3 linked regions of the Sus scrofa genome follow. The protein of the gene in region 2 purifies or fractionates together with the protein of the main gene of each other region. This does not show direct contact. Links are inferred from orthologs where the notes say so. Each region holds a gene or a part of one and is shown on either strand. Other genes may lie near its edges. The genes, in order: EIF4E, EIF4A1 and EIF4G3.

Region 1 (10,935 bases), on a different chromosome or scaffold from region 2:
TATAAGAAATCAATAAACGTTAGTTGATTCTGAAAGCTTGGAATATCCTTAAAGAGAATGGGCAGGGTTGGTTCTCTGCATAAAAGATTTCTTAAGCATATTACGCTACAAAAAGTAGAAATAAGAAATTTATGTTAATATAATATTACATCATGGTAGTTATAGTTAACATTGAGTACTTACTGTGTTCTAAGAACTATTCTAAGCATGGATTAACTCATTTCTCACACTAACTATACAAGATAAGTACTATTATTGTGCCCATCCAGCTCATGACAAAAATGAGAGACAAAGAGACTAAATAATCTGTGTGGTCTTACAGCAAACGGTAGAATTGAGATTGTGAACGATAACTTGACATCAGAACTAATGCTCTCAAATAGTAAACTATGTAATTGTTTTGTTTTGTTTTTGGTTTTGTTTTGGGCTTGCCTGTGGCATGTAGATGTTCCTGGGCCAAGGATCGAAGAACAACCTGGGCTGCTGTAGTAACAATGCTGGATACTTAACCCACTGTGCCACAAGGCAACTCCTATATAATCGTAATTGAAAAGATTACTTATACTGTTAGAAGCCATCATTTTAGGGCTTTCTTAAAGGAACATCACTGTAGAAAATAACAGTAACAATTAAAAAAATAGAGTATAAAGTATAACCAGGTTTAAAAGAGAATGAAAAAGGTTTATAAGAAGTTAATGTTAACTAGAGGCAGTTTAGATTATATCTAAAGTTAATATGCAGCATTAAATATTAAGGATCATTTATTATACAATTTCATGTCATCATGCTCAAAGCCTATTCATTTTAAGAAAAAGGATTGCTTACTACTAGTCAGAGACTGATAGAGGCATCTAAATTAACAGAATGTCTAAAATTACAAGGCCTGTTTAAAAAAAAATCTTAGGCAGGGGACACAGCCAATGAAAGAAAGAAAAGAAAAATCCTAGACAGGGTAGCAGTGATATTTTTGAGGGATCGACTGATCATAGCAAATGTAATTAGTTTGAACCATAGTTGAACAATGCCCAGCAAAACAATGACTTTGGTTATCTAGAAAACCTAAATAAAATACATGATAAAAATGATGTGATGTTTTTATTATGCATTCTATTACATTATTTAACGTCTTTTTACCGTGAGTTAAAATCTATAGACTAGTAATAAAGCAGCCTCAGGAAAATATGTAGAGAAAAGATAATGACTATTTTTACATTCTTAAATGATGACCAATAATTTAGGCTTATAAATAATTGTTACCATGATATTACACTGGGCTATTAGTTATGTATTAACTAGATAATGAGATCAAGTAGAATAGTATCTCAATACCATTTCCCACTTAAAAAAATCTTTTTATTCTCTTTTCTTTAAATGCAAACACAAATATGGTAGTAATGTAACAAATGTACATTTGTAGATTAATATAGTATAAATTTTCTTCTCTGTACATTTCAGATTGGCCAAAACAAAACCATAGACACACATAGATTAAAAACTTAATCACCAAGTCTTTGACATGGTGGAATCTAATAGTGATGTTAAGCAAGGACACATGAATATGCCACAAAACACATGCAACAAAATACATACAAAATGAGAGAAATTAAGCTCTGAAGAATAGGTGCATATATATGCACCATAGAAGTACTAGGATGATTACCAAAAGTGAAGAGTGTTTTGATCAAGAGAGTTAATAAAATGGGAGCTATCATTAAAGTTTGAGAATATCAGTGGTTTTCAGTCCCATATAGAGATTGAAGTGTTTTTAAATTTTAAATCTGTTATCTAGCAGCATTGGGAAAATAATACATCTATATTATCTCCTCAAAGATATTGAGATACTACTTTTTTTTTTTTTAGGATGGCACCCACAGCATATGGAGATTCCCAGGCCAGGGGTCCACCTGGAGCTACAGCTGCCGGCTTACACCACAGCCATAGCAACATCAGATCCAAGCCGAGTCTGCAACCTACACCACAGCTCACAGCACGGCCAGATCCTTAACCCACTGAGTGGGGCCAGGGATGGAACTGACAACCTCATGGTTCCTAGTCGGTTTCACTTCCACTGCGCCACAACAGGAACTCCCATCAGATACTACTTTTAACTAACAGAAGATATCACTGGGATTGCCTATAATTACTTTGGATAGTTTAATTAAGAGCACATAGTCTCTGCAAATAGAAACCTCTTTATCCAATTTGTTTTATTTTATTTTTTAGAACTCTATTACTTTAAACCTACTAGAGCTAAGCTGACTGGACCAAAGCTTTCATTAATCATCTCTGACATCCAGGTAAACCAAAGCATATGAGCAGGAAATGGTTTTGAGCTCTTATTACAGTCTCAATTATGTGTTAGTCAACTCAAGCAACCATTATGTACTCAATAATAGGTATGACACAGCTCTGGACATCAGCAGCACTAAAGCAGGCAGGCACAGGTAGCCTGATTATACTGATTTTTCTGGTGTTAACATTCTTAAGAAGCATGGGAAATAGTAATGATATAATATCTTCCTCATTAAAATCTTGCAGTAGCACTCTGCTAGATTTCTTCTGTTTTTTTATATGGATAACCAGACTGTGCAGAGTAAGACTGTCTTCAGAAATGACAGCACAAGCAAAAAAAAGAAAAAAAGAAAGAAATGACAGCACAGTATCTTAGCGGGGAAGAAAACGTCGGATGTCACTCTGGGGATAAACCTCTAATTGCCAGTGATTATAACAATATTTTCCTAAACATTAAAGCCTCTATGGAGGGTAGCTAGTTATAAAAACATTGTCTCGAAACTTTTAAAATTGCATTGGTGTACATGATAATGTAACAACATAAGCAAAAGAAAAATTTAAAACATTGTTTAAAGAACAGTAAGGGAAGCAGCTGATCCTTACGAAGGCACGAGGTTGCTTATTATGAAGCATTTATAGAGTCTGATGCATTTTCAAAGCTGGTTACAATCATTACCACAGCATACCCTTGTGAGGTAAGTGTATTACCATCTGTGGTTCATAAATGAAAAAGCTGAGGCACTGAATGATTAAGTCACTTGCCTAAGGAGAATGAGTCAACGTCAAGAGTCATAGTTGACCCAGCCTAACGACTCCTGACGGTCAGTCCAGGGCTTAGTCAGCGGGGGCCGGAGTGGCTTCCCTGGCTGGCACCTGGACTTGGGCTATTTCCCTTCACGTCGAAGCAGAACAGTGCAATCGAGAGGACAGAACTTCAGATAATTTTTACTTCCACGCAAGATTTAGCCCTGAGATTTTAATCTCAGGAGTTGGAACACGAAAAGCTGTCGGGTGCACTCCCCCTCCCCCGAACTGTGGCAAGTGGTTACTGTGGGCGGTTCCGCCACTCCCTTTCGCAGTGATGGCAATGAGTGACCACCAGCGTTAGCGGAGCCGGGGGACGGGGGAGGGTTGATTGCTTAACGATTTTCCCTCGCCGCCTCTTTTTGGAACTAAGAGAAAATGGTGGGAAGTCAAAAGAAAATTAAATAAACACACAGGCAACTTGTCCTAGGACCTCAACTAAGCAAATGAAGCCTTATTGTGCGTGTTGAGCCTACAGTTCCCAACCTTCCGAGGAAGATGGGAGGACAGGGCGACAAAGGGCACAGGAGGCATGCCTGGCAGTGAGTGCGACAGCAACTACCCAGGCGGAAGAGCAGAGGACTGAAAGCCACCCTCCAGCACGCGAGTGTCCGCTGCGCCGAGAACCGCGCACGGTACCCACCGGCCACGTGACCAGTCTTTTTTTTTTTTTTTTTTTTAAACTTCCTAGCCTAAAAAAAAGAGACAGGGAGAGCGAGCCACCGAGAGAGCGACTCCACTTCCCAGAAGCCTCTTGTTAAACACGCAGCTGCAGTCTTGCGCAGGCGCCGCCAGGGCCAAACGGACACGTCCGTCACGTGAACAGTAGCCGGCCAATCCGGTTTGAATCTCATTTTTTTCCTCTCACCCCCTCCCTTCAGGAGCGGTTGTGCGATCAGATCGATCTAAGATGGCGACTGTGGAACCGGTGAGTATTGCCTTTGGCCCCCACCCCCACCGGTCCCCGCGCTCCGTCTCCTTTCGGACTGAAGGATCCCGCGGGACGGCGTTCCCAGCGCGCACGCTACCCCTTGCCGCCCCCTCCCCCTCTTCTTTGGCCTGACCTCCCTGCGGACAATTGGGGGCGCCCCGGAGGCTGGCCGCCACGGCGTGTAGAGCACACGTTCTGGTGGGGGCCCGCGAGCTAGGGGAGAGATGTGGGGGAGGGGCGGCGCGGCTCCCCCTGTGGAGCCGCAAGGTGTCTATAAGGGTGGTGCGTGATCCGGCCTCTGGGCGAGGTGTGTGGGAATCGTGCCTTTGCGATGGGAAGGCGCGGGCCCGGCTCCGAACGAGCGCCAGGATTCGCAGGGACGGTGGGCGGCGAGCCGGCCTGGAATGAGATGGAGGAGGGAGCCTCGGAGCAGCCTTTCCCTCTCTCCCTCCCGAGCTCTGGCTCAGGGGCTTGGGTTCCGGGCGCGCGCCGGGATTTCTTAGACCGGTGGGCCAGGGAGCCGGTGAGCGCGCGGTGCCACGGGGTGGGTTGGGCGGGAGTGGTGCCGCGGCACGCGCGGAGAAGGTTCTTCCTCGCCGAGGGGAGCCGAGAGGGGCGAGCGCATGTTACTCCAGCATGTCCGAGAGTTGTCGGGGTTGGCGACCCGGGAGGCGAGAAAGGTTTCGGGGTGGGGAGGAGAACCCTTGGTGGCGCGGTAAAGCTCTGAGAGTAGGGTGAAGGGTGCTGGTGGTTGGAAGGGGGATCACATTGTCCTCGCCCCTCCATGCTTGAGCCTGGGCTGTCATGGAGGAGGGAAGGGGGAGGAGCGAGGCCTGCTGATAGCTGCTGGGGCTGGTCGGCTTGCCGGCCGGACCTGCGGCATTTCACACGCGCCTGTCTTCCATTCATTCATCCTTTCCGCGCTGTGCGCACGCCTCAGAGAGTGCGAATGGGTGTAGATCCATCTGTTCTTCCGCGGCTTTATCCTCTGGAAGAGTTCTCAGACACTGTTTAACTTAACTTTTAAAGTTAGGTTTCTGTTTGATTTTTTTTCTTTATCCGTTCTCCTGGCTTTCTTCCCAGTTCAGGCACCATCTTAAACTTATTTTAAGCAGGCTGATCCCAGAGCACAAAGTTGATAGTTACCGCCCAAAGGAGAGAGTATGTTTGTCATAGTTTGGGTTTGCCGGCACTGACTCACGGAAACTTCTAGGCCTGTGTTGCCGTTTTAGGAATGTCACATACAAGTGATTCTGTTTTAGAGGTGTGTAGCCAGAAAACGTTTGATACTCTGGAACTGTACTAGACCTTGGTTGCCCGATAATTTTGTGAATCTTTAATGGTAGTTCGTGATTTTGATGATGGCGTCCCAATTTGCTTTGACTTTTCTTTGAAGACTTTTATAATTAAAAAAAAAAACTAGTTATAAAAAGATCTATAGGATACAAAAATGCTTATTTTTCAGTTACATTGATGTTAATTATCCTTTCCTTGTTGCCCGAATTTAAGGCAGTTTTTCTGCTTGGTCATTTGTACTTATATTTATTATTTATTCATTTGTTTATTTATTTATTTTTGAAAATTGTATGTATGGCCGCACTCGAGGCATATGGAAGTTCCCAGGCCAGGGGTTGAATCCGAGCCACAGCTGGACCTAAGATGCAGTTGCGGCTACGCCTACGCTGGATCCTTTAACCGGGATCCTTTAACCCACTGTTTCGGGCTGGGCATTGAACCTGCATCTCCGCAGCAATCCCAGCCACTGCATTGGGATTCTTAACCTACTTTGTCACAAGTGGGAACTCCCTTGTATTTTTATTGGTACCGATTTTTATTTATATTCCTGAAAATTAGATGGACTACAAAACTCTTAAGTTGCTGGTACAGTTAACTGGTTTTTAGAACATTAATGTTAAATAGATAAAAGATATATTTGTAAAATTTTAGTTAAGTCCCTTTTAATGAGTTGTGACATCTATTTCTAACTGGACGAACTCTCCTACCTATTGTACCAGCTTCAATAAAAAGCATTGCAGCTGGTAATAGGGGCAAGGCTAAAACCTCTAAACAATAAAACAATAATGTATTCTGTGCAGTTTCAGTAACATTTAGGTAATTTGGGTTTTGCAAAGCTATGCTGTTTTGGTTCAACAGCAGAGAACAGAACTACAAAGTGTTGAAGAACTGTTTTGAGTCAGTAAATATTTATGGCCCCCTGTATGTTTAGAACCTTGTACCAAGTGTTCTTTAGGATACAAAGTTATACAAAATGTGATTATATACCTTGTTCAATGTAAACCTCTAGGAGCTTAATTTCCAGTGATCTTGTGAATGATACAGTATAGTAGTCCTTCTAGTAATGACCCCTGGGAGATTTGAATACTGAATTCAAATGTGGGGAGTGAGGAACTTAAAAACCTAGTGTTTGAATAAAATAGAAAGCCAGTTTGAAACTATAGTATTTTTAGGATTCTTGTAAAATAATTTTAAGTGTTCATTTTTAGTGAAAATGCAAAATTTTAGTACTTTTTAATGCATCCTTGTCCACAGGTTAGTCCTTTAGAATTCTATTTTTGGACGGTTTTAAATAGTGAGTTTTGTTTAATTTAATTTATTTACTTATTTTGACTGCGCCTACAGCATGTGGAATCTCCTGGGCCAGGGATCAAATCTGAGCCATGGCAGCAAACCAGGCCACAGCACTGGATCCTTAACCCCCTGCACCACAAAACAACTGAGATTTTTTTTTTTCAAGCAGCTGATTAGTGTTTGTTGCAATCGGTATCCCTGTAGAAGTCTACAGAAAACATATTTGTTCATTGCTAATGGAGTTAGCTTGTGACTTTCCTTACTTTTTGCTGGACATAATCATAAGCACCTAAGAGTCAGGTTTTTTCCTGCTTGTCCCACCTTTGTAGGCATTCAGGGAATTTTTATCGATGGAAATTATGTTAAATATCATTTTCAACTTATATTGTGTGATTCTCAAGTGTCTGTGAGATCAGTTAAATGGCTTACATGAAATGTAAAAAAATGATACAAATGAATTTATTTATGAAATAGTAATCAACTCATAGACATAGAAAACAAATTTGGATTACCAAAGGGGGAAGGAAGGGAGGAGGGGTAAATTAGGAGTTTGGGATTAGCAGGTAACACTACTATATATAAAATAGATAAACAACGAGGAACTGCTCTGTAGCACAGAGAACTATACTCAATATCTTGTAATAGCCTGTAACGAGAAAGAATCTGGAAAGTAATAAATGCACACATATATAAAACTGAATTGCTTTGTTATACACCTGAAACTAATACAGCATTGTAAATCAACTCCTTTTTTTTTTTTGCTTTTCTTTTTTTTTGCTTTTTAGGGCTGCACTCACAGCATATGAAGGTTCCTAGGCTAGGGGTCTAATCAGAGTTACAGCCACAGCAATGCCAGATCCAAGCTTGTCTGTCCAAGCTCGCGGCAACACTGTATCCTTAACCCACTGAGCAAGGCCAGGGGTTGAATCCACAACCTCATGCTTCCTAGTTGAATTTGTTTCCACAGCGCCATGATGGGAACTCCTCGACTACTTTCAAAAAAAAAATTTTTTTTTTTTTTTAAAGGGCCTCACTTGCAGCATATAAAGGTTGCCAGGCTATGGATGGAATCAGACAGAGCTGTAGCCACCGGCCTACTCCACAGCCACAGCAGCACCCGAGCCACGTCTGCAACCTACACCACAGCTCACGGCAGCACCAGATCCTTAACCACTGAGTGAAGTTAGGGATTGAACCCGAATCCTCATGGATCCTAGTTGGGTTTGTTAACCACTGAGCCACAATGGGAACTCTGTAAATCACCTACGTCAATTTTTAAAAAAGCAACACACACACACAAGAAGTGGTTTGCAGATAGTAAATGTGTTGAGAAGTTTGATCGGCAATTTAAAGGAAGTGCTGTACTTCTAAACAGGTAATATGGCAAGTTTTTTTTTTTTTTTTTTTTTCCTCTCTTTTAGGACCTCACCTGCAGCATATGGAAGTTCCCAGGCTAGAGGTTGAATCAGAGCTATAGTTGATGGCCTACACCACAGCCATAGCAATTTGGGATCTGAGCCGCATCTGCAACCTACACCACAGCTCATGGCAATGCCAAATCCTTAACCCCCTGAGCCGGGCCAGGGGTCAAACCTGCATTCTCATGGATCCTAGTGGGTGGGGCTCGTTAACTGCTGAGCCACGAAGGGGACTCCCATAATATGTCAAAATTTTGAACATTGGGATAAACAATATTCTCCTGTTATTCTTTTGGCATTTGAATGTGGTTAGGTTAAAATTAGATTTTGTGGGTAGATCAAAGTTAGACTTAATATTAGTTGGTGAAGATGGCAGGCCAACTTGCCTCCTTTGGGTCATGGTTTTTAATAGCTTTTATCTTTATGTTGCATTCTTCATTATTGGGCTTTTTTTTTTTTTTTTTTTTTTTTGACTTGTAGTTCTTTTAAAGGTAAAAGATTATGTATGGTTTCTTTAGTTAAACTTAGGGAGTAGGTGTTCATGCTGTGGCACAACAGAAACAAATCCACATAGTATCCCTGAGGATGCAAGTTCAATTCCTGGCTTTAGTGTGTTGGGGATCCACCGTTGCTGGGAGCTATGGTATAGGTCACATGTGGCTCAGAGCCCTCATTACTGTGGCTGTGGGGTAGGCTGGCAGCTGTAGCTCCCATTTGACCCCTAGCCTGGGAACTTCAATATGCTGCGAGTGTGGCCCTAAAAAGCAAAACAAAACAAAACAAAAAAACCCTGAAGTTTCTACTTGTTTTTATATTGTATGTCTCGAATTTTTTAAACTGTACATTAGTTTCATAAGTGGAATTGTACAGTCAGCTGATCTAATGTTTCCCCTTTTATCCTTTAGGAACATATTTTGTATTGCAAAGAGTTTATTAAATAAGTCTTGTAGTTCCCGTCATGGCACACTGGTGCATGAATCCGACTAGGAACCATGAGGTTGCTGGTTCGATCCCTGGCCTTGCTCAGTGGGTTAAGGATCTAGTGGCGCTGTGAGCTGTGGTGTAGGTTGCAGACTCAGCTCGGATCCCGTGTGGCTGTGGCTCTGGTGTAGGCCGGCGGCTACAGCTCCGATTTGACCCCCAGCCTGGGAACCTCCATATGCCACGGAAGCGGCCCTAGAAAAGGCAAAAAGACAAAGAAAGAAAAAAAAGTAAACAAGTCTTAAATACATATTTGACAAATGTTATATAATGCAGTGTTTTGGCCAACAAGCAGACCTTGCAAATTAATATGCATATTTTTGCATTATGAAAGAACCCAGTATATCAAAGTTCATATGTAAGTCAAACAAATTAGTTAGGTTCTGATGTTTATATTTTAAATTTCACTTCACTTTATGCTTTGAATTAATATGCCTAATTATTAGGCTTAGGTCTAAATTAGAAACAGATGTAATTTACACACCAAAGTTGGAGAGAATAAAATGTTAACTGGCCAATTTGGGCAGAAAATTCTATGCAGAGTTTTAAAAAATTATTCTAAAAATGAAATAGAATAATTTGTATAAGTTTAAGAATATAGTAGAAGTACTAGCAGTCTTTATTGGAACAAGGAACCTGTGAAATAGTTGTACTAGCAATAGTTTTTTCTTCTTTTCCTTCTCTACTACTAATAGGAATTTCCTTGCTCTTCTTGCTCCTGTGCATTGCTCTATTGAGTCTGGTTTTTGTTTTTTTGTTTTGTTTTTTAATGCTACTCCCAATGCATATGGAAGTTCCCCAGGCCAGGGATTGACTCCAAGCCACAGTTGCAACCTGTGCTGCAGCTGTGGCAATGCTGGATCCTTGAACTCACTGTGCTGGTCCAGGAATTGAACCCTCACCTCCAAAGTGACCTGAGGTTTTGCAGTTAGATTCTTAACCCAGTGCACCACAAGTGGGAACGCCTCACTTTGTGAGAATTTTTTGAGAAGGAAATGAGTATGAGTCCTAATCTTAATTTTAATGTCTTTGTGACCTTCTAGACCAAAGTTTCTAAGTGTAGCTGAAAAATGGGAATAAGAAGTTATCTCATAGTAACTTTGATTTTCTTTTTTTTTTTAGTCTCTTTTAGGGCTGCACCTGATGCATATGGAGGTTCCCAGGCTAGGAGTGGAATCAGAGCTGTAGCTGCCAGCCTACACCAGAGCCACAGCAATGCAGGATCTGAGCCATGTCTGCGACCTACACCATGGCTCACGGCAGTGCAGGATCCTTAATCCATTGAGTGAGCCCAGGTATCAGACTCGAGTCCTCATGGATACTGGTTGGGTTCATTAACCGCTGAGCCATGACAGGAACTCTGACTTTGATTTTCAAATGCAGCATTCAGAGATGACAGTTTGTGGAGTTCCCATCGTGGCTCAGTGGTTAACGAATCTGACTAGGAACCATGAGGTTTTGGGTTCAATCCCTGGCCTTGCTCAGTGGGTTAGCGATCCAGTGTTGCCGTGAGCTGTGGCGTGGGTCAAAGACTCGGCTCGGATCCCACGTGGCTGTGGCCCTGGCGTAGGCTGGTGGCTACAGCTCCAATTAGACCCCTAGCCTGGGAACCTCCATATGCCGTGGGAGCAGCCCAAGAAATGGCAAAAAGACAAAAAAAAAAAAAAAAAAAAAAAAAAGAGGTGACAGTTTGTAAGCTATGAAGAACTAGGTAAAGTTAATATTCCATGAATGTGTTGCATGCAAGTGTATCTATGCATAGGTGTACTCACTTTTTTTTTTTCTCTTTTTGCAGGGAGATTTCACATAGCTGACTTTAGATCATTTCTTTGCCACTAGTAAGAAATGCAAAGCTTATGACCCATAACTTGTAGATATTCTTTCCACTCCTCCTCTTACTGTAAAAATCTGTAGTGTTTC
Region 2 (10,293 bases):
CGCGGAGCCGCCGGTCAGATTGTCTCACTGCGGGAGGGAGGGTTCGCGCGCGCTCGGGACTCCGGAGGATTCTGACGGTACCACTCGCCGAAGGTGGGGGTGCCTGGATCCTCAGTCGCTTGGTCGCGTGAAGCTATGGGTCGCGGGAGAAGAAGCCGGCCGTTCAGTGTGCTGGTTTTCTTGACGGCCAGGACCGACCCTAACCCCGAGGAGCGGCCGCTTGAGGCACCGGGAGCCCACCCGGCGCCGGGCGGGCGGGTCCATTTTGCCGCACAAGCCGGGCAATTGGCAAACTGCGGATGGGCAGGTCCACTTTCCTTCGGGGGTGAGCGGCCTGAGGTATGGGAGGGCGACGCCATTTCGCGACGGGGGCGGGCGGGGTGTGGATTGTTCCCCGGAGGGGAGGGGTGCGCCGCCGGGTGGTCGAGGAGGCGAGCACATGGCGGCCTGAGGTGCTCCCCTCCCCCATTCGGCTTCGCTCTTAAGTGTTGTGCAATCTCCCCCCTTGCTAGCTCGGCTGGGGCTCATTGTGCGCGAGGCCGCCACCGCCCGCGGCCTCCCACATCCGGGCACCGCGAGGCGGGGAGATGGGCTGGAGGGAGTGGGGGAGGGCGCGGGCGGCATGACGTGGGGGGGAAGGGGATGTCCTCCTCTCGCATCTGGGAGGTGGAAGGCGGGACTTCCGGCGCGCTGGGGCCACAGTGGGAGGTGCACGCGCTGGGTCTTGGAGCGGCCCGGCCCAAGACACGTGGGCCTGGCGGCCAGCACCACCTCTACGCCCCGGGCAGCGCAGCGCCGTTCCTTCCAGTCTCCGGGTCTTCTGTAGGGCAGGGTGGGGAGGCGGCTTGGCCTGAGCAGTTCCAGAGATGAGGCAAAGGCCTCGGCTGTAAAGTAACTGCTCTTGTGTTTCCGGAATTCATGGGGCTTGGATCGGGAGTGAAGACTGATGGTAGCATGCAAAGCCGCTTGCTGGGAGGAAGAGTCTGGTGGTCAGGATTTCTATGTGCTTGTATTTTAAACCAATAGATCCAGAGACAATGGCCCCGATGGGATGGAGCCCGAAGGCGTCATCGAGGTAAGGTTGGACCCCTACCGCCGTTATCCTTTGTAAGAGTATATACAACAAAAGTATGTTTTTTTTCCTCTTTATAATATAACCTCACTGTTTACAAGTAACTGGTCCCTTCAGAGTAGTTTTCTAGGCCGCATAGACCCAACCAGCTGGCTTCCTTGGGGAGGAGAAGGTGGTGGGTTCTGGAACTTTGGTGCAGGCAGAGAAGGTCCTGTTTGCTCCAGTGCAAGAGCACAGCCCCATTTCTGTTAATTCTTTTTTACTTCTTACAGAGTAACTGGAATGAGATTGTTGACAGCTTTGATGACATGAACCTCTCGGAGTCCCTCCTCCGTGGCATCTATGCCTATGGTTTTGAGAAGCCCTCTGCCATCCAGCAGCGAGCCATTCTTCCTTGTATCAAGGGTAAGGTCTTTGCCCCAGAAAAAATGTATGGGCTGTCCCTGGCCTGGGTAGAGTGGCATCTGGTTGGTGGTGCCTGTCTCATATCAGCCAGGGACAAAGCAACTCCTTGTTTATCCCAGCTTGGCTTTTGGTTTGTGCCTATGCCTGGTTCATGCCCTGGACACATGGATTGTTGGCTTCATTTAAGTCAGGCTCTTGTTTTTAGGCAGATTATAATTTTACACCTGTATTTGTAGCCCAGCTTTGGGGTGCCATGCTAAATGAGTTGTTGCCTTCACCTGGCTTCCAGGTCTGCCTTGGTACTGTGTTGTGGTATCAAGTCTGTGAAGCACTTACTGTTTGGCACATATACGGACCCTTCTGTGGGTTATTTTTCAGTGTCCCATGATTCCAAAGAATATTTCCTGCCATTAAATTTCTCTCTCATTTTGTCACTTTAGGTTATGATGTGATCGCTCAAGCCCAATCTGGGACTGGGAAAACTGCCACTTTCGCCATATCAATTCTGCAGCAGATTGAATTGGATCTAAAGGCCACCCAGGCCTTGGTCCTGGCACCCACTAGAGAGTTGGCTCAGCAGGTGAGATTTTACCTCTCCCCAAAGGACTCATTTAGAAATGAATAATAAAACCCAAAAATCAGAAGTATGTGCCCCGACTACCACCACCTTGGAAGAACTGACGTATAGAGAATGAAAGAGATGAAACAAAGTCAGTTGATAACTTGTAGATCTTTTGGGATTTATTAGGTTAATTATAAACCTTAACCAAGCACAGTAAGCATCCTTTACTCCACCCGTTTCCTGAGTCAGATGTGAAGGCTGCTGGGTGGAATGTGACTGGCTGGGCAAGTTTGGCTCTTCTATGACCAAAACCCCCTGGCAATGGGCAAAGAGACACCTGATTGGTGGTGTTGTTCTTATATCAGTCATGGGAAAAGCAGATGTGTATATAGTCCTCTGTTCATCCTAGCTTGATGCCTGGGTTGGTGGCCAGAGCTGTTTCATGCCTAGGACACATGGAATGAACTGTTTTCCTGGGTCTTAGAGGAAAAGGATCAGAGACACCTGTCTCATAAATTGACTGTTTTCTTGCCTATGAAGTGAGTGTTTAATAGTGCTTGAGTTGTTGGGAAAAATAAATTCATAAGCATTTTTTCCCCCCTGGGGCCACACCTGTGGCATACGGGGAGGTTCCCAGGCTAGGGTTCCAATTGGAGTTGTAACTGTCGGCCTACACCAGAGCCATGGTAACATTGGATCCAAGCTGCCTCTGCTGCCTATACCACAGCCCACGGCAATGCAGGATCCTTAACCCACTGAGCAGGGCCAGGGATCGAACCCACAACCTTATGGTTCCTAGCCAGATTTGTTAATCACTGAGGCACGACAGGAACTCCAGTACATAAGCATTTATGAGATGGAGCCTGGTGACTATAGCTAACACAGCATTTTATCTTTTCAGATACAGAAGGTGGTTATGGCATTAGGAGATTACATGGGTGCTTCCTGCCATGCCTGCATTGGTGGTACCAATGTGCGTGCTGAGGTGCAGAAGCTACAGATGGAAGCTCCCCACATCATCGTGGGTACCCCAGGCCGTGTGTTTGATATGCTTAACAGGAGATACTTGTGTGAGTGTCTCAATTTTCCAGGTCTCTGGGTCACTTCCTTAAGCATGTTTTCCCAGTTTTTTTTTTTTTTTTTTTAAGCATTGCTCTGTGATGAACCCCATGCGTGTCATCTGAGCCTGGCTTCCCTGTCAGCTCAGCCCAGGTAGTGTTCTACTTCTCAGGGCTGTTGTCTGGCCTTGCAAGGGGCTCACAGGCAAAGGATCAATCTTTGTATTCTGAGAGCAGACCACCTATCTCCTATTCTTTATCTGGGAAGAAGTGAAAGTATATCTTACCTTTTTTAAATACCTGTTGGTGTGTGTGTGTTTTTTTTTCTTTTGTTAGCTCCCAAATACATCAAGATGTTTGTATTGGATGAAGCTGATGAGATGTTAAGCCGAGGGTTCAAGGACCAGATCTATGACATATTCCAAAAGCTCAATAGCAACACCCAGGTGAGAAGAACATTGGGGTTTTGCTCGTGTGAGTGGTGATTCCTTTGTACGGATGGTAGTGTTCTCGGGGTGAGAGACCATTACAAAGTGCCAGACAAACCATAAAGCTCTGGAGGACCTGCTACCTCCCCTGAGACTGTTGTCCCCATTAGGTGGTTTTGCTGTCAGCTACAATGCCTTCTGATGTGCTGGAAGTGACCAAGAAGTTCATGCGGGACCCAATTCGAATCCTTGTCAAGAAGGAAGAGCTGACCCTGGAGGGTATTCGCCAATTCTACATCAATGTGGAACGCGAGGTGGGGCCCAGTGCAGGAGGCGGGCCTGGCAGGAAGGCGGGGGGATAGCCCCTGACTGATTTCTCCCCCACCCCCAGGAGTGGAAGCTGGACACCCTGTGTGACTTGTACGAAACCCTGACCATCACCCAGGCAGTCATCTTCATCAACACCCGAAGGAAGGTCGACTGGCTCACGGAGAAGATGCACGCCCGAGACTTCACCGTCTCTGCTATGGTGAGCGCCCGCCGCCACCGCTGCGGCCGTGGTTTCCCAGCAAGAGGGGGGCTGTCACAGGCCTACTTCCCCAGCCAGTTCTCGCTGAACCAGCACACCTACCTGCTAACAGCCGCCTTCTGTTTCCTGTTGTAGCACGGGGACATGGACCAGAAAGAACGCGACGTCATCATGAGGGAGTTCCGCTCGGGCTCCAGCAGAGTGTTGATTACCACGGATCTGCTGGTGAGTAGAAGCTGAGTAGAAGCGAGTGTGAGAAGACTGGGGACCAAGGGCGGATCCAAGGTGATTCCCTCTCCAAGGGGCCTGCTTGTGCCCCTCTTCTGGAAAGTAGCAGCTTGGAATAACATCTGGCAGGCCTGAGGCTCTGGCGGCGAGGGGCTGTAAACATCCTCTGCCTGCCTTGGGCTGCCCACACACACGCCTCTCCTGGACAGACTCCTCCCTCTCCCTGGAGTCACCCACTGAAGCCGCCTTCTCTCCCACACAGGCCAGAGGCATCGACGTGCAGCAGGTTTCCTTAGTCATCAACTATGACCTTCCCACCAACAGGGAAAACTACATCCACAGGTAAAGACACCTGCCAGGCTGCCCCCCCCCGCCCAGTCCTCCCTGCACAGCAGCGCCCCGGTCTTCCCCATCTTCCTCATACTCTAACTTGTTTCCCAGGATCGGTCGTGGCGGACGTTTTGGCCGTAAGGGTGTGGCTATTAACATGGTGACAGAAGAAGACAAGAGGACTCTCCGGGACATTGAGACCTTCTACAACACCTCCATCGAGGAGATGCCCCTCAATGTTGCTGACCTCATCTGAGGCGCTGCTCTGCTCTCCCAGCCCCAGCCAGGGATCCGACCTGTCCTTGAGGGGGGCTGAGGAACAGCAGCAGGGGGGAGGGAAGGGAGCCAAGGGATGGACATCTTGTCATTTTTTTCTTTTTTTTTTTTTTTCTTTGAATAAATGTCACTTTTTGAGGCAAAAGAAGGAACCATGACCATTTTAGACACCCTTTTCTTTGGGGCAGGCTCTTGCCCCAGGCGCCGGCTCTTCTCCCAGAAACACTAATCCATTTCCCTAACCTCGTCAACTTTCAAACCCAAGGCTCTCCCCACCCCAGCTGAATTCTGAAAATAATTCAGTGGGGGCTGTAATGCCCCTCCACCTCATTTGCTGGACCAAATCTGGAGGGAGAGCCCGAGTTAAGTGGCCCAGGGCACTGTCCCCAGGTGGGGGGGGAGCAGGGGAAAGAACATGGTAGCCATTTTTACATTGTTTTTGTATAGTATTTATTGATGCAGGAAAACAAACACAAAATTCTGAATAAAATAACTTGGAAACTGCTTTGGCTTCTCATTTCTTACCTCTCCTTCCCCTACCCCGCTACTGGGTAGGTACAGCTCTGCTCCCCTGCTGAACTGGGTAACCGGTAACATGACTCTTAGGAAGGGGCTGGGCCAGCACAGTCATAAGCAGCTCACATGTCTCTAGGCAAAGAGGAAGTGATCTGAGCCCAGAGAAAGGGGAAATCAAAGTTGTGATCTTTACACCCCGTTGAGCTTGGGGGGTGGGGGGCTGTGGCTGCAGGCTCTGGTCCTTTGATCACCTGCAACCCCTGAGCATATTTTCCTGAGGTGGACAAGAGTCTCCCAGGATCGACTACCCCAAACTCCCTTCTCACGTAACACAGTGCCCACTTTGGAAATGCCAGGGCTAATCACTAGGTGACACAAATTTGATGACTCAGGAGATTAGTGGCTGGAGCTGAGGTGCCTGAGTCAAGTTGGGGGCGGGGCTACCAGTTAACAGGAAGTCAGATTTATTTCCTTTTCCCAAAAGGCTGAGGGATTAGGATTGAGAGAGCAGGCAGCTGGGACCCACACAGAACTTAGCTGGATTCTGAGTGCAGGCTGTTCTGACATGACGTTGGCTGTGCTCTTCTTAGGGGCCCTGCTGGGACTCCTCGCAGGTAAGGCGAAGGCGGCTGGGGGTGGGGGGTGCCCAGGGAGAAGCCTGCCCCTGGGTTGCCAACCAGTTCTTTCCTCTGCTGAAAGCCCAGGGAGCTGGGGTCGACTCTCCTCATAAAAAATCAGCCACTCTGCTGCCATCCTTCACGGTGACACCTACGGCTACAGAAAGCACCACCAGCCACAGAACCACCACTCCAAGAACCACCACCACAGGCACCACCAGCCATGGGCCCACAACAGTCACTCACAATCCTGCTACCACCACCAGTCACGGAAATGCCACAGTTCATCCAACAAGCAGCAGCACTGCCACCAGCCCAGGATCCTCCACCAGATCCCCCCACCCAGGGCCACCTCCACCCTCTCCAAGTCCTAGCCCGGGCTCCCAGGAGGCCATAGGAGACTACACTTGGACGAACGGCTCCCAGCCCTGCGTCCAGCTCCAAGCCCAGATTCAGATTCGAGTTCTGTACCCAACCCAGGGTGGAGGAGAGGTGAGGACAGGCGGGGAAGGGCACGCAGCCTGCTGCCCTGGTTCAGAAGGGGAGGAGTAGAGGGGGCCAAACCCAGCGTGAAGACCAAAGGAACAAGGAAGGAAGCTTGACTGGCGCAGCTGTGCAGTCTTGTGACCCTCTCATCTTTAACTTCTGCAGGCCTGGGGCATCTCTGTACTGAACCCCAACAAAACCAAGGCCCTGGGGGGCTGTGAGGGTGCCCATCCCCACGTGCGCCTCTCATTCCCCTACGGACAGCTCACCTTTGGATTCAAGCAGGTACTCAACCCTCATCCCTCGCTCTCGGCCTCCAAGCCCCCTATGCCTCCAAACCCCTTGCCACACTCCTTAGTCTGTGTACCTGGATCTGCCGCTGCCTGAGTCTTCCTGATCACTTCCCCAGCAGCCACAGGAGAGCACTGTCTACCTGAACTACATGGCTGTGGAGTACAACGTGTCCTTCCCCCGGGCAGCGCGTGAGTTACCTTCCCCTTCTCATCATTTGCACCAGATGTCTGGGCTCCTGAAGGGACCTGAGCTGGGCTGTGGGGACATGGACGTGGAGCTGACCCTCCCCCCCCTTTTGTCTTTTGCCTTTTTCTAGGGCCACACCTGCGGCATATGAAGGTTCCCAGGTTAGGGGTCGAATTGGAGCTGTAGCCACTGGCCTATGCCAGAGCCATAGCAACGCGGGGTCCAAGCTGCGTCTTTGACCTACACCACAACTCACGGCAATGCCGGATCCTTAACCCACTGAGCAAGGCCAGGGATCAAACCCGCAACCTCATGGTTCCTAGTCGGATTCATTAACCACTGTGCCACAACGGGAACTCCTCCCCTTTCTTTTAGAGTGGACATTCTCAGTTCAGAATTCATCCCTTCGAGATCTCCAAACGCCTGTGGGCCGAAGCTACAGCTGCAGAAACGCAAGCATCATTCTTTCAACAGCTTTCCACCTCGACCTGCTCTCCCTGAAGCTACAAGCTGCTCAGCTGCCCCCCACAGGGAACTTTGGACCAAGTAATACCTAGTCCTTGACTCCCAGAATTCTCCCACTGCACTGAAATCCCCCACCCAGGCCTATCATCTCCTTCTTGCATCCCCAAACTTCCTCCCCCTCAAGCTTGTCATAGCTGGGGCACCTGTCCTCTCTAGACTCTGCCCATTCATTCTCCCCTTTTATTTCTGCTCGGAGTCATCTAGGTGAGCTTCTTACCAACCTCGCACTTCCCAACATCCCCCACATTCCTTCCCTCCTCTCTGTCCCAGCCACCACCATTGTGATGTCAACCTGCCCTTTCTTTTGTCTTTTTAGGGCCGCGCCTGCCGCATGTGGAACTTCCAGGGCTAGGGGTCAAATTGGAGCTGTAGCTGCCAGCCACAGCCACATGGGATCTGAGCCGTGTCTGCGACCTACATCACAGCTCACGGCAACACCGGATCCTTAACCCACTGAGCAAGGCCAGGGGTCAAACCTGCGTCCTCATGGATATGACTCAGATTTGTTTCTGCTGAGCCACGACGGGCACTCCCAACTTGCCCTTTCTTTCTGCCAGGTTTCTCTTGTCCCAGTGACCAAACCATCCTGCTGCCTCTCATCATTGGACTGATTTTCCTTGGCCTCCTCATCCTGGTGCTTGTTACCTTCTGCATCATCCGGAGACGCCCACCCGCCTACCAGCCTCTGTGAGCATCTGTTCCAACACCCAGGGCACCAGAGGGTGCCCTTATTTCTCCCCACTCAACTGACTCTAAGACAAAGTTTCTTCTTTCTCTGTCTTGATGAACAAAAGTAGAGATAATGCAATCGGGAGAGATGTTTATTAAATATGATTGATTTCCCTTCCCCTACTTCCAGAGAGAGAATAGTAAACCTGCTCAAATCTCTATGCTTGGTTTTCCTTGTCCTTCCTGCCAGAATGAAAAGCCATGAGTTTCTGGGCTCATGCCTTTCTGTGCCTTCCATGCTTGGATCTCAGGGAGCCAGAAACAACTGGTGAGGAGGGATGAAAATGCCACCGTGTAACCCAGTGACTTCCTGGGTCCACCCCCCAAAGCCTGGCACAGCTAGTGTCAAACCTGCCTTGGCTCCCTTCTTCCTTTTCTTCTGGGGCTGGCCCCTGGCTATACCAGTTCCCTCTCCTCCAATCCAGTGGAGCCACCCAGCCCAGCAGCCTTCTTCCCGACCCTCATCACATGCAATTAAGGTGAAGCAGGCAACAACAGCAATGAGTGAGGAGGGAAAGGTCACAGCTGGGTTCATTTCCTTTCAAAAGGCTGCACCGGTGGCTTCGTAACAGGCTAGGGAAGCCCGGAATAAACCCTTGCTACACCTGAGATGCTCTTGTCTCACCTGTAAAGGGTTTTCATCAACCATGGGAGCAACAGGCACCCTGACCTCCACATACAGTGACTCTATGCTCCTGGGAACAACATGCCTCCGGCCTGGGCAACCTGCAAAGCCAACCCTGAAGTCCTCAGTGGAGGTGCACCTAGGGGTGGTGCGTGGCACCCCCAGGGCAGCCTGCGTCCATTTTCTAAAAAGAGACACCCCCCCGCCCCGACCGCCACAGCTTGCACCACCAATGAGTGCCACGCCCCCCTTTACAGTCGGCCAAGAGCAATCCCAGGGGCCAGAATAGGGCCTCTCCAGTCGTAAAAGCCTTGCAAGAAAACAGCCACCCGAGCCTGGAGACCCACCCCTCTGCGGGCAGCACGTGGCAGAGGCCCAGTAACCACACCACCACCTTGCAGACACCCCGTAGGACCTTGCAGACTGTAGCGCGGGAGTCACCAAAGCGTGTGGCACTGCCACCCAGCAGGGGCCCAGCCACCAGAGCTCGAGCTGGTGTCCCGGCGCTGGGTGGCAGAGAGAAGAACCCCGGGGCACTTGTTTCACAGAAGCAGCCAGGGCTGGGCCCGCAGGAGGGCTGGTGGCTCTGCTGTCCCCCAAAACTGGGCTCGCCTTCCCCACCTCCTCCTCCGCTTCACTGTCCTGACCCAGCAGTTGCTGCCACTCCCATCCGTCAAAGCCTGGGAGAGCCCAAGGAGGGAGAAATATGGGCCCGGAACCTAAGGAGGGCTGCCTGGCTCATACCGTCCCGCTGCCCTCGGCGCCCTCTGGAGACGCCGAGTAAGAAGAGAGAAAACCACAGCGCTCCCCCCCGCAACGCCACTTTGCAGACTCACGCTCTTTCTCCCTCAACTTCGAGCACTGTAAAGTCAGATGGAAGAAGACAAGATGGCGCCGAGCAGGAGGAGCGGAGAAATGCAGGAGAATAAATCCTGCTGCCGAAACGGAAGCTTAAACAAAGATGCGAAAGCTGGAACTGCGCAGGCGTACAGCTTTGGCAAGCTTTAAAACTCCAGCAGCAGGGAGGGCGCGTCCAGAAAACGCGGTCCTGGGATGGGACCTACTTTCCGCTAAGGTGGGATGGCGTAAATAGCGGGGAACTGGGGAGGTCCTGACTTATCGCGAGAAGACAGGAGGCGGAGAGCTCGGAGTGCGCATGCGCACCGCGAATCAATGGCGGTCTGCGCGACTGGCGGAAGCTAGCTTTGCAATATGGCGGCTGAGGTAGATGGGCCGCTCAAACGGGTGTTGGTGCCGATTCTTTTACCTGAGAAATGCTACGACCAAATTTTCGTCCAGTGGGACTTGCTTCACGGTGAGTTTCATTTGGAATCCAATCAAAGTTCTGTTCAAGAGCCCCCGGGCCTTAAAAGGGACTTCAGTGCGGACTAACTGACACCGGCGACTACCGCCACGCCAGTGCTGGG
Region 3 (10,835 bases), on a different chromosome or scaffold from region 2:
TCTATTAGTTCTGACTTGTCAGATAAACCGGAAGCTGTTAGAGGGAAGGAACTACATCTTCTACTTCTTTTTCTCTCTCTCACCAATACTGAGTATACAGAAAATGCTCAACAAAGTCTTGTTGATTACTGCCTTTGATGTGGTCAAAGAAATCATGTTTAGTTCCTATACTCTCTGCTTTTACTCCTAACCAGTCTCCAGGTGAAGCTGCTTCACTTACCAACTGCCTCTCTATTCTGCGGGTTCAATCTATCTGTCTCTTAAACTCCCAAGTTCTCTAATGCCTGGTGGACTCCATCCCTCACCTGGTCTTCTCTTCTCTTTGGTCATGAGCTGCTGGACCTTCCTTTGCTCTTCTTGTTCTTCTATTTTAGCCTCTTTGTGAATCTGTTCAATAGTTTTAGGCCCTTGATCTGCTCTTCGAGATACCCAATTACACTACAAAAGGAAAAAATAAGATTATCAGCCAGATAACTAAGAAGAAAAAGGAAACATTTGAAAACCTATCTTATACTTTCCACTGCTGGAAAAGTATAAGATACATACAAAATCTGGTACTATGGCAGTTTTTCATCCGTCTTACACATTGGCACATGGGGTGCAGTCTGGGTGTTAGAGATGAAGAATTCAATTTTTCTCAATCAACCTGAGCTACTGTATACTGAGTCTTCCAACAGCTGATGGATAACAACACAGAGTGAGGGACTTGACCCAACTGGGTGTGTGCGTATTAAAATCATTTTGCACTTTTGAAAGGAGTAGAGGGAAGAGGAAACAAGAAAGATCAGGGGAGCTCCCGTCATGGCTCAGCAGAAACTAATCTGACCTGAACCATGAGGTTGCGGGTTCGATCCCTGGCCTCGCTCAGTGGGTTAAGGATCTGGTATTGCTGTCAGCTGTTGTTTGGTCACAGATGTGGCTCGGATCTGGTATTGCTGTGGCTGTGGCACAGGCTGGTGGTTACAGCTCCAATTCGACCCCTAGCCTGGGAATCTACATATGCTTCGGGTGAGGGCCTAGGCCCACCCCCCAAAAAAGATCAGGATTCCTCGGCCTTGACTTAGTCTGGTGTAAGGCCACTCAGTTCACAGCAAACTCCACTGCAGTTCTAAATCAAGGATGACTAGCACTTTTTGTCCTCCTATATGAAGGTTCTGGTTTCTATACAGAGTGCCACACCCTCTACCCTTTAGTCATCCTCTCTATTGAGGACAAAACAGGCTGTCTCCTTATAGTTATACTTCTCCCTTTCCTTCCCTACCCAGCTGTAATCTCCACATCTGATATAAATACAAGTGGGTGAAGGCATGGGTGGTGGTGGAGAAGTTTTTAATATTTATTAATATTAGCTTGAGGCAAGAATAGCAGATAGCTTTAAATCAGCATTTAAATTCAGATCAGCTGGCAGTGGTGGTATTAAGAAGAAGGATCCTGAGTCACACCTCAGCTTAGCAATATAAAGAACCATCATCATACTGTCTGTCTGGGTGCAGGGCAGGGAATAGGTGGGACCTAATTTCACTTTCTCTAGCTGAGGGTCAGCTGCAGCATTCCTATGGCAGTTAAAACAGGAAAAGGGAAAAGAGGTGGTAGTGGTATATAAACCGTACCTGGTATGAGAAATGAGAAAAAAAAAAAAAAAAAGGCAGTAGAACAAGAGGGTATACAAGAAAAACATTAAAAAAGAAAACATCTTTTGAGTTGGGTACTTTACATAATTATCTCACTGAATCTTTATATCATATCTCCAGAGTAAGCAACATCCCCATTTTATTATTTTTTTGTCTTTTGTCTTTTTAGGGCCACACCCGCGGCATATGGAGGTTCCCAGGCTAGGGGTCTAATCAGAGCTGTTGCCGCTGGCCTACACCAGAGCCACAGCAACACCAGAGCCAAGCCACGTCTGTGACCTATACCACAGCTCACAGCAACACCCAATCCTTAACCCACTGAGCGAGGCCAGGGATCGAACCCGAAACCTCATGGGTCCTAGTCGGATTCGTTTCTGCTGCGCCAAGACAGGAACAACAACACCCCCTTTTTAAAGACTAAAATGTAAGGCTCAGGGAAGTTAAATGTATTCATTGTGAAGATGAGGCTCCTTGATTAGCTCTTTAAGACTAATTTTATTGACCACAGTTTGAATTCAGAATGGCTGATTTCAAAACTGCAATGTGGTTTGATAATCAGAATAAAGAGGAGAAACAAGGAGTTCCCGTCGTGGCGCAGTGGTTAACGAATCCGACTAGGAACCATGAGGTTGCGGGTTTGGTCCCTGCCCTTGCTCAGTGGGTTAATGATCCGGCGTTGCCGTGAGCTGTGGTGTAGGTTGCAGACGCGGCTCAGATCCCGCGTTGCTGTGGCTCTGGCATAGGCCGGTGGCTACAGCTCCAATTAGACCCCTAGCCCAGGAACCTCCATATGCTGCGGGAACGGCCCAAGAAATAGCAAAAAGACAAAAAAAACAAAAACAAAAAAACAAAAGGAGAAACAAGTAACAGACAGGTAGGTATGTATGCCCTTGGTCCTCTCACACAGCTCTCTCATGAAAATTTGCCATCTCAAGTTCTGAGAGTCATGCAGCAAAAGCATTAAGTTATCACACATGTGTGCAGGCAGTTTCCATGGTGGCTCAGGGGTAAGGAATACAACTAGCACCAATGATGACGTGAGTTCTACCCCTGGCCTCACTCAGTGGGTTAAGGATCTGGCATTACTGTGAGCTGTGGTGTAGGTTGCAGATGCAGCTGGGATCCCATGTTGCTGTGACTGTGGCTGTGGTTGTGGCTGGTAGCTGTAGCTCTGATTCAACCCCTAGCCGGGGAATTTCCACGTGCCGCATGTACGGTCCTAAAGAAAAAAAAAGTTATTATACATGTAATTACTAGGACATTCCTCATAGCCAACTTATGAAAAAGAGACGAGAGTGGTAGGCTTATTTTTCTACTTACCAGCCTTAGGTCTATCACATCCTGAAGCATGAATCGAATCCTAGATGAGGTTTTTCTTTCTTTCACAATTTTCTCCATCTGATTAAAATATTGGTCCATACGTGGCTGAAAGAGCAAAATCATTAGTATTCCTGGCTGAGGAATTCGAATGTAGATTTACCATGTAGAATATTATTTTATTACTATTTTTGCTTTTTAGGGCCATACCTGAGGCATATGGCAATTCCCAGGCTAAGGGCTGAATCAGAGTTGCAGCTGCCAGCCTATGCCACAGCCACAGCAATGCCAGATCTGAGCCGTGTCTACAACCCACACCACAGCTCACAGCAATGCTAGATCCTTAACCCACTGAACAAGGCCAGGGAATGAACCTGCATCTTCATGGATGCTAGTCAGGTTTGTTTCCACTGAGCTACAAATTCCTCATGCAGAACTTTAAAAGGACCTAGGAGTACAACTTAGAGTCAAAAGGCAACGTGATGGAATTTTTAATTGAACGTGGCATCCAAAATAAAGGCTACATATTCTAGGCACCTGGCCATGGGCATGTGACTAATTCTAGGTCCAACAGAATATAAATGGAAATGTCATACTGTACCTCCCTGGAATCTTAAGAGAGGGGTGACTATGTCCTTTGCCCCTTTCCAACATTCTCTACTGTGAGATGAGGAAGGACAAGGGCTACACCTTAGGGATGACTGAATTTAAGCTGGAGGAACTGATATTTAGCCATCAGACCAGCCTCAGACTTATCTGTGAAATTCATTTACGAGAGTGAAAAATAAACCTCAATCTTATATAAAACATTGATATTTGTGGTTTTCTTTCACAGCCAAACATAATCCTAGTGGATTTTGATGTTAGGAAGCATTTGTGACATTTCTTTGATGGATTTCTAACTTCCCTACCCCTTATTTGGGGAGTACCATGTTATGTTTGAATTATATTATTTTTAATGATTTCTTTTTTTTGGCTGTGGCAGGTGGAAGTTCCCAGGCCAGGAATCACACCCAAGCCATAGCAGTGACCCAATCTGATCTAGTGACAATGCCAGCTTCCCAACGCACTGCGCCATAAGAGAACTCTAGTGATTTATTATAGTTTTATACGTCTGTCATTAACTAGAGCATAAACTTAAGAAGGCTACCTGGGAGTTCCTGTTGTGGCTCAGTGGTAATGAATGTGACTAGTACCCATGAGGATGCATGTTCGACCCCTGGCCTCAATCGGTGGGTTAAGGATCTGGCATTGCCATGAGCTGTGGTGTAGGTTACAGATGAAGCTTGGATCCCATGTTGCTGTGGCTGTGCTGTAGGCTGACAGCTACAGCTCCGAATGGACCCTTAGCCTGGGAACTTCCATATACTTCAGATGCGGCCCCAAACAGACCAAAAAAAAAAAAGCTACTGGGTCTTCTTCATTTCTTTCTCATTCTCGGTCCTGGCCCTTAGTAGCTTTTCTCTCCAGAATTTCTGCCAACTTACTCTACCTATACATACAAAATGATATGTGAGATAGTCATGCAGAAAAAGGACAAGGGACAGATACTCTGAACCATTTGTGAACTGGCTTTTACACAATTTGGGGCCCTCTTCACGTCTGACTTTACTGAAGATATGGTAGAAGCATGATGGCCCAACACTGACAGTGAGAAGGATGAAAGAAGACAAACAGGAGGCTGAGACGGCGGGGGAAATAGGGACACTGCTGCTGACAGTCTCCTTCTTCTGCAACTGACAGAGTCCCTGCTGGAGGTTTCTGGGATTTGGGGTTTTCACCTTGGCTTTCTCAAAGTCCAGGTCTTTGCCAATTGTGGTGAGTAGGCGACACAGGCACTCGAGGGATTCTTCATCATGGTTCTTTAGCAGCTTTACCACACAGTCATGCATGATGGCTTCAGTCAGCATTTTCAGTTTGAAGAGCTCCCCAATAAACTTGATGTTACCAATGGATCTCCGCCGGGCTTTATCCTTAGCTTCTTCCAGTTCATCATGAAGCCTTGTCCTCTCCTCTGGCTGTTGCATAAGGAAGAGTAACAGAATCTTGATGATAAAAACAGTATGCAAAATAAAGGCTAAAAACACGCATAGAGAGTCATGGTCTCTACCTTTCCAGGCATCAGGGACACACTCTGAGATTATGACAGCAGCTACAGGCCTACTCAGAAAATGAAATACACCCAAAAGTCTGCACCTATTTCAGGCGATTTCTCGAATTCAGTGACCTCTCTGAAATCTAGGTTCTGAATCCCTAACTTAAAAGGTTGAGTTGCTCTAACATGTGGCACTAAAAGGAACAAAGCTGCCTCTAAACATCAATAAAGTTATTTCCACATGAAGAAAAGGCCACAGGCACCTGCTGAAGTAGTAAGAAGATGTTGTAAGAAGCTTTGTGAAAAATCTATTTAATAACACTGTCTTTCTGTGAAAATACTTACAGCACTGGCAGCCTCGAGTTCTTTCTGCTTCTTTTCGAAGACATCATCATCAGCTTTATCTTTTTCAAACTCCTTCTGGCAACGGTTCAGTAGCAGCTTCCGGAAATTCACTGTGTTACCAGGCTTGTCTGCCATGGGTACTTTCAGCTGCATCCAGATGGGAAAACGCAAAAGCAGCAAGATTACTTAAAGAAATTCAATGATTTTCTCAAAATACCTATTTTCTTTATTGTGCAAAATAATGCTGACTGAACTACAGGTAAGCACTCTGTAAGAGGTATGAAATATAGCTTCAGGAATTTCATGTTTCAATGGTTAAGATGTTTTAAGTTTTATACAGAAAAGATAAACGTTGTATAAATGTACTGTATCCTCTACAGCTGATTATGCCTCTAGATGCCTTTGAATGTAATATTATTACAACTATGATTTGTACTCTCTAGACTTTTTTAAAACTGAAGGGTTATTACTTTTATTTTTCTTACTACCAGTGTAGGCACTTTGGTTTAAAGGAATAAATGAAAATAAAATAAAGTATGGGGGAATTTCATGACCCTAGGAAAACTGTTGGAGGTGAGATCTTTATTGTGGAAAAAAGCACAAAGGGGAGGAGTTCCTGTCATAGCTCAGTGGTTAACGAACCCAACTAGTACCTATGCAGACGCAGGTTTGATCCCTGGCCTCGCTCAGTGAGTTAAGGATCTGGTGTTGCCGTGAGCTGTGGTGTAGGTCACAGACACAGCTTGGATCCGGCGTTGCTATGGCTGTGGCGTAGGCTGGTGGCTGCAGCTCCAATTGGACCCCTAGTCTGGGAGCCTCCATGTGCCATGGATATGTCCCTAAAAAGACAAAGAAAAGAAAAAAAAAAAGCACAAGGGGGGGACACATTTGAGGCTTTTTCCAGACATCTTTTCCCAAGGGAGATGGCATAACACTGTAATGCTAGTATTTACCTTGACTATAAATATACTATGTTTATTGATTATTTCTTCTGTGCCAAAAGAAAACACTACTTCTCTAATAGTTCAGTCTAATAAATGCCCACTTTAGAAACATTCTTTTGATAAACAGAAAGACTCAGAATGGAGGATGGCCACCTATAGGCAAGATGCTTATGATTTTTCCATTCAAATCCAGTAATAATTGCTTTCTAGTAACTCCCAACAGCTCATATCTTCAAGATTACTTATAACCAAACACAGAGATGTTCTTATTTAGAATATAAAGACAGTGGACTGGAGCAGTGATTGGCTAAAATATTCTATTTTACAGACAAGGTCCCTTGAGTACCATTTTGAACAGCCACCGTATATAAGATGGCAAAATATTTTTCTAGAATCACAAAGGAGGTCCCCAAGTTCTGAAATGCACATCCCTGCCCTAGATTTAATGGAAGAAATTGGTAAAAAAAAAAAAAAAAAGGGATGCACTGTATTTATACTCATAAAGGGGTTAATGTTATCAACCAGAATGGACTTTGACAGCTGCTGATTGAGACTGAGTGGCTGGAGAAACTTCTTCAGAACTGAAGACTATGATACGATAGGTCTATGTGCAAGAACTGATGGCACACCCTCCAACATGTTCCCAATGAGACAGGAAAGACCACTCAACCAGTCTAGTTCTTATCAACCAAGGGCTAAGTGTTTCATTAGGCTATGTTGAAAGAGCTGGGTTCAAGATCAATATTTCCTTTCTTGATTTTAAACAAAAGCAACTCTAACCTAAGCTTGTTGCACCATCCAAAACAAGGGAGAGACAATCACAGTGTCTAACCTAGATTGCAGCTTTAAGCATCCAATGAAATAGGTTTGCATTCTATAAGAGGTGTATGCATGTTTCAATGGGTAAGGTGTTTTAAGTTTTGTATAGAAAAGATACATATCCCTGTCATATAAATGTATTGTATCCTCTACAGGGCTGGTTGTGCCTCTAGATGACTTTTGAAAAAACACAGTTTACCTGAGATATTTGGAACACTGAAATTGAAAGAGCACTGGAATTTTGAGCCATAAAATCAGGGTTTGAATCCCAGCCCCATAACTAATCAATATGTAAATGTGAGCAAGTTACCTCATTAAGCCTTAGTCCCTACATCTGCAAAAGGAGGCATTCCAATGATTACAGATTGAGGGCCATTATAAAGTAGCTGTTGAAACAGGAGCTTTGGGAGATAGTCACAATCACAGTTCTGCCATGTGACTTTCGCCAAATTACTTAGCTTTACCAAACCTTTTCTTTCTAAAATGAGGATAACATCTATCTCTTAGGACTGTGTGAAGGATTAACTGAGATAGTCTATGTAAAACAAATAATAGTGGCCAGCACATAGTGAAGAGTCCAATAAATGAATGGAGCTATATTTCACATGTTCATTAGTAAAGATTAAGAGAAACCGTGGGAGTTCCCGTCATGGCGCTGTGGTTAACAAATCTGACTAGGGACCATGAGGCTGTGGGTTTGATCCCTGGCCTTGCTCAGTGGGTTAACGATCTGGCGTTGCTGTGAGCTGTGGTGTCAACTGTAGACATGGCTCGGATCCCGCATTGCTGTGGCTCTGGCGTAGGCCAGTGGCTACAACTCCAATTAGACCCCTAGCCTGGGAACCTCCATGTGCTGTGAGAGCGGCCCAAGAAAATGGCAAAAAGACAAAAAAAAAAAAAAAAAAGAGAGAGAGAGAGAGAGAAACCTATATTATAATAACGCAGACATCAAAGAAAGTATTTAAGTTAGTTCACAGAGCAATTAGGAAGAGAACCACAAAAGGCAAGAATACTGAGTATCTGCTGTGCAAAAATGATGGGCATGGGACATTTCATATGTATAGGACATAAGGAACATGTGATTGTACATATGCTTTTTAGGTATATTCACATGAAACAAATAAAACCAAACAACCAGCTGAATGGCCACAAATCTGCAAGTACATGTGTCTCTAAAGGAACGAATGCTTAGCTAAACCACCCCCTAAAGACCTGTTTTGGAACGTGATCTTCACGTCTTCTGGGGATGGGTAAGAGGGCTGCGGAAATATGAAAATAGGCTAGGGAGAATATATCCTCTGAGAACTCCTTCCTAGGAGATGTTAAATTCTACAGGAGTATGACATTATTAAGTCAGCATGTGTTGTCAGCTGAACAATGACTGGTCAGAAACGCAGTAAAATTGGTTACTTAGAACAGAACATGAAGAGTGGGTGTCTTAGATGGGTGGGCTTGCTATAACAAAATAAGACTGGTGGCTTAAATAACAGACATTTATTTCTCACAGTTCTAGAGGTTGGAAGTCTAAGGTCGATGTGCCAGATGGGGTTCTTGGAGAAGAACTCTCCTCCTGGTTTGCAGACATTTGTCTTCTCCTCTATCCGCATATGGCAGAAAGGAAGCTCTAAGGACTCTTCCTCTTCTCATAAAGGCACTAATTCCACCACTGGGGTCCCACCCTTATGACCTTATCTAAAGCTAATTACTCCCCAAGCCTCCATTTTGTAACACCATCACACTGAGGGTTAGAGCTTCAACCTATGAATTTAGGGGGAGACAAATACTCAGTCCATAACAGTAAACAAGGTAGATGCCTGCAGATGTGATCATGGCTAATAGCAAAAAGGAAAGGTGATACGCAACAGTGAGAAAAAGATCTCTCTAGACAACTATAATTTTCATCTATCAGCAGTCTGTGATTGAAACTAAGCTATATATATGTTTCAAATGGGTTTTTTGGGAGATAACTTGTCAGGAAGTGAGGGAGTCAAGGGGGAATATTTTATAGCTAAGACTGCTTAGCAAGCTAGATTTGTTGGAGAGCAACCACCTTTTCTTTTTTACACGACAGTAAACACTGCGTGACATTACATTACACTTTAAACTAACAGTGTTCCTCTCACACTGTGGTGAGGTCAGGCAGCAATCTTGATATGAATGTTGTCAGCATCAAGTAGTCATTTTCTTAAAGCAGCAGGACTTGCACTGCTAATATATTTGTTAGTGTTGAGGGTAGATACTTCTTATTCCTAAAATGACCAAACTCCCTGAGAACCATCAAGGGCTGTCAGCTGTATATAACAGTAGTCAAATAGGAGACAGAAACAGAAGGACAAGCCCTGGCCTTGCTTGGCCTGTTTAGGACTTTCAGTGCTGTCCCAGAACATAAAGGTCCATAACCTGTGGACCAGTAGCCATTTTGCTCAAAGAATGTTCTGGTCTGAGGTAAAGTATTTGGAATGACTACTATACTATTAACAAGTGAGGCCCTCAAATTAAAATGTGAAGTGAACAGCAATAAATTAATTGACTGACTGTAACTCATGGATCCATGGTGACATATTACCATTTACCGGTGGTTATATTCTGACCCTAGTAAATCCCCACCTAAAACTGAACATAACATAGTCTGTATGTACTAACATGTCTATCAAAATGCAGCTCTATCAGATACATGTGAAAAGGTATACGGCGCTGAGGGATGCCCACAAGATTGAAAAGGAGGTGGTCAAGTTAAAAAAGGGTAAGTCATTTCTCGTCGATCTTTTCTTCAAAACATTTTTCATCTTTCATCAGTGTGGCACATCCCTCCTCCTCCAGCTGATCCAGCCACTTGCTGTATTTGCCTAAGGCCAGCTTCTCATGTCTATAATTCCAGGCTTTATTTCTGAAGAGATTTAACTGTGTCACCCTTGTTCTCTTAGTGTCTCTTCTTGGAATTAGTCCTATCATTCTTTTTACATCTTGCTTTAAAGCACTTAAAAAGTGACAAGATTCAAAGTTCTGGATTTGGCATTAAAAGAACACAGAATGTCCAAAAATCTACCTTAGTGCCATTTTTATAGCCGAGGTATGTTTGCCCGCCACAGCAGAGATTAAAAGGTAGCAAAAGTACTGTCTTCGAGAGTAAAATAAAGTCAAGTTGTTCTTCTTTCACTCATGCATTTACCCGCTCACTCAAAACACATGTGCCAGGAACTGTTCCAGGCACTAGGAATTCAACAGTGAGAAAAAAAAAAAAAAACCAGCAAAGTCCTTGCCCTTAGGAGCTCACATTCTAATGGGATTCTGAGATGGGGATTTTCTTTAAATTTTGATTAAAATAAAAGCACCGACATTTAAACTATTAATCCAGTTAAAAATATTTTAAGTATAGATTTAGATATAGGACAGCAATTTCTCTTATTTACTCTTTTTCATTTGCCACTCTGAATTGATGTTCTCCTCCTCCTAAGAGAAGTACTGAGTTCTAGTTAAATATCCTGCAATTTGTGAAGGAAGTCTCTTTGGTCATTCCTAGTTGAACCAGTAGAAGCAGCAGCCTACTCCAGAGGCACAGTTCACCATCTTGTCTGAGGTCCTTAAGCTTTATGTGCCAGAGGTTTCACTTAGCAGAGGGAGGCAGCTGTGTATATGTATAAATAAGTGTGTCTATATGCATAATATATATGGCGTATGCAGAGA

The links.
Region 1: the proteins of EIF4A1 (region 2) and EIF4E purify together in Homo sapiens (affinity purification with mass spectrometry; 8 studies listed by BioGRID and IntAct, counting the BioPlex papers as one, with this or other methods). This does not show direct contact. The link is inferred for Sus scrofa from reciprocal best matches to the Homo sapiens genes EIF4A1 and EIF4E.
Region 3: the proteins of EIF4A1 (region 2) and EIF4G3 purify together in Homo sapiens (co-immunoprecipitation; 6 studies listed by BioGRID and IntAct, counting the BioPlex papers as one, with this or other methods). This does not show direct contact. The link is inferred for Sus scrofa from reciprocal best matches to the Homo sapiens genes EIF4A1 and EIF4G3.

The regions. Positions count from the first base shown.
Region 1 is NC_010450.4:121,405,734-121,416,668, forward strand, and holds the start of EIF4E (eukaryotic translation initiation factor 4E), read left to right. Parts: upstream 1-4,252; 5' UTR 4,253-4,358; coding exon 4,359-4,550; intron 4,551-10,935. UniProt on the Homo sapiens protein: Acts in the cytoplasm to initiate and regulate protein synthesis and is required in the nucleus for export of a subset of mRNAs from the nucleus to the cytoplasm which promotes processes such as RNA capping, processing and splicing.
Region 2 is NC_010454.4:52,868,857-52,879,149, forward strand, and holds the end of EIF4A1 (eukaryotic initiation factor 4A-I), read left to right. Parts: intron 1-1,026; coding exon 1,027-1,075; intron 1,076-1,344; coding exon 1,345-1,477; intron 1,478-1,917; coding exon 1,918-2,057; intron 2,058-2,940; coding exon 2,941-3,109; intron 3,110-3,433; coding exon 3,434-3,543; intron 3,544-3,695; coding exon 3,696-3,839; intron 3,840-3,916; coding exon 3,917-4,054; intron 4,055-4,189; coding exon 4,190-4,279; intron 4,280-4,544; coding exon 4,545-4,624; intron 4,625-4,723; coding exon 4,724-4,868; 3' UTR 4,869-5,080; downstream 5,081-10,293. UniProt on the Homo sapiens protein: ATP-dependent RNA helicase which is a subunit of the eIF4F complex involved in cap recognition and is required for mRNA binding to ribosome.
Region 3 is NC_010448.4:79,070,332-79,081,166, forward strand, and holds part of EIF4G3 (eukaryotic translation initiation factor 4 gamma 3), read right to left. Parts: intron 5,536-10,835; coding exon 5,389-5,535; intron 4,967-5,388; coding exon 4,730-4,966; intron 3,057-4,729; coding exon 2,952-3,056; intron 439-2,951; coding exon 306-438; intron 1-305. UniProt on the Homo sapiens protein: Component of the protein complex eIF4F, which is involved in the recognition of the mRNA cap, ATP-dependent unwinding of 5'-terminal secondary structure and recruitment of mRNA to the ribosome. Functional homolog of EIF4G1.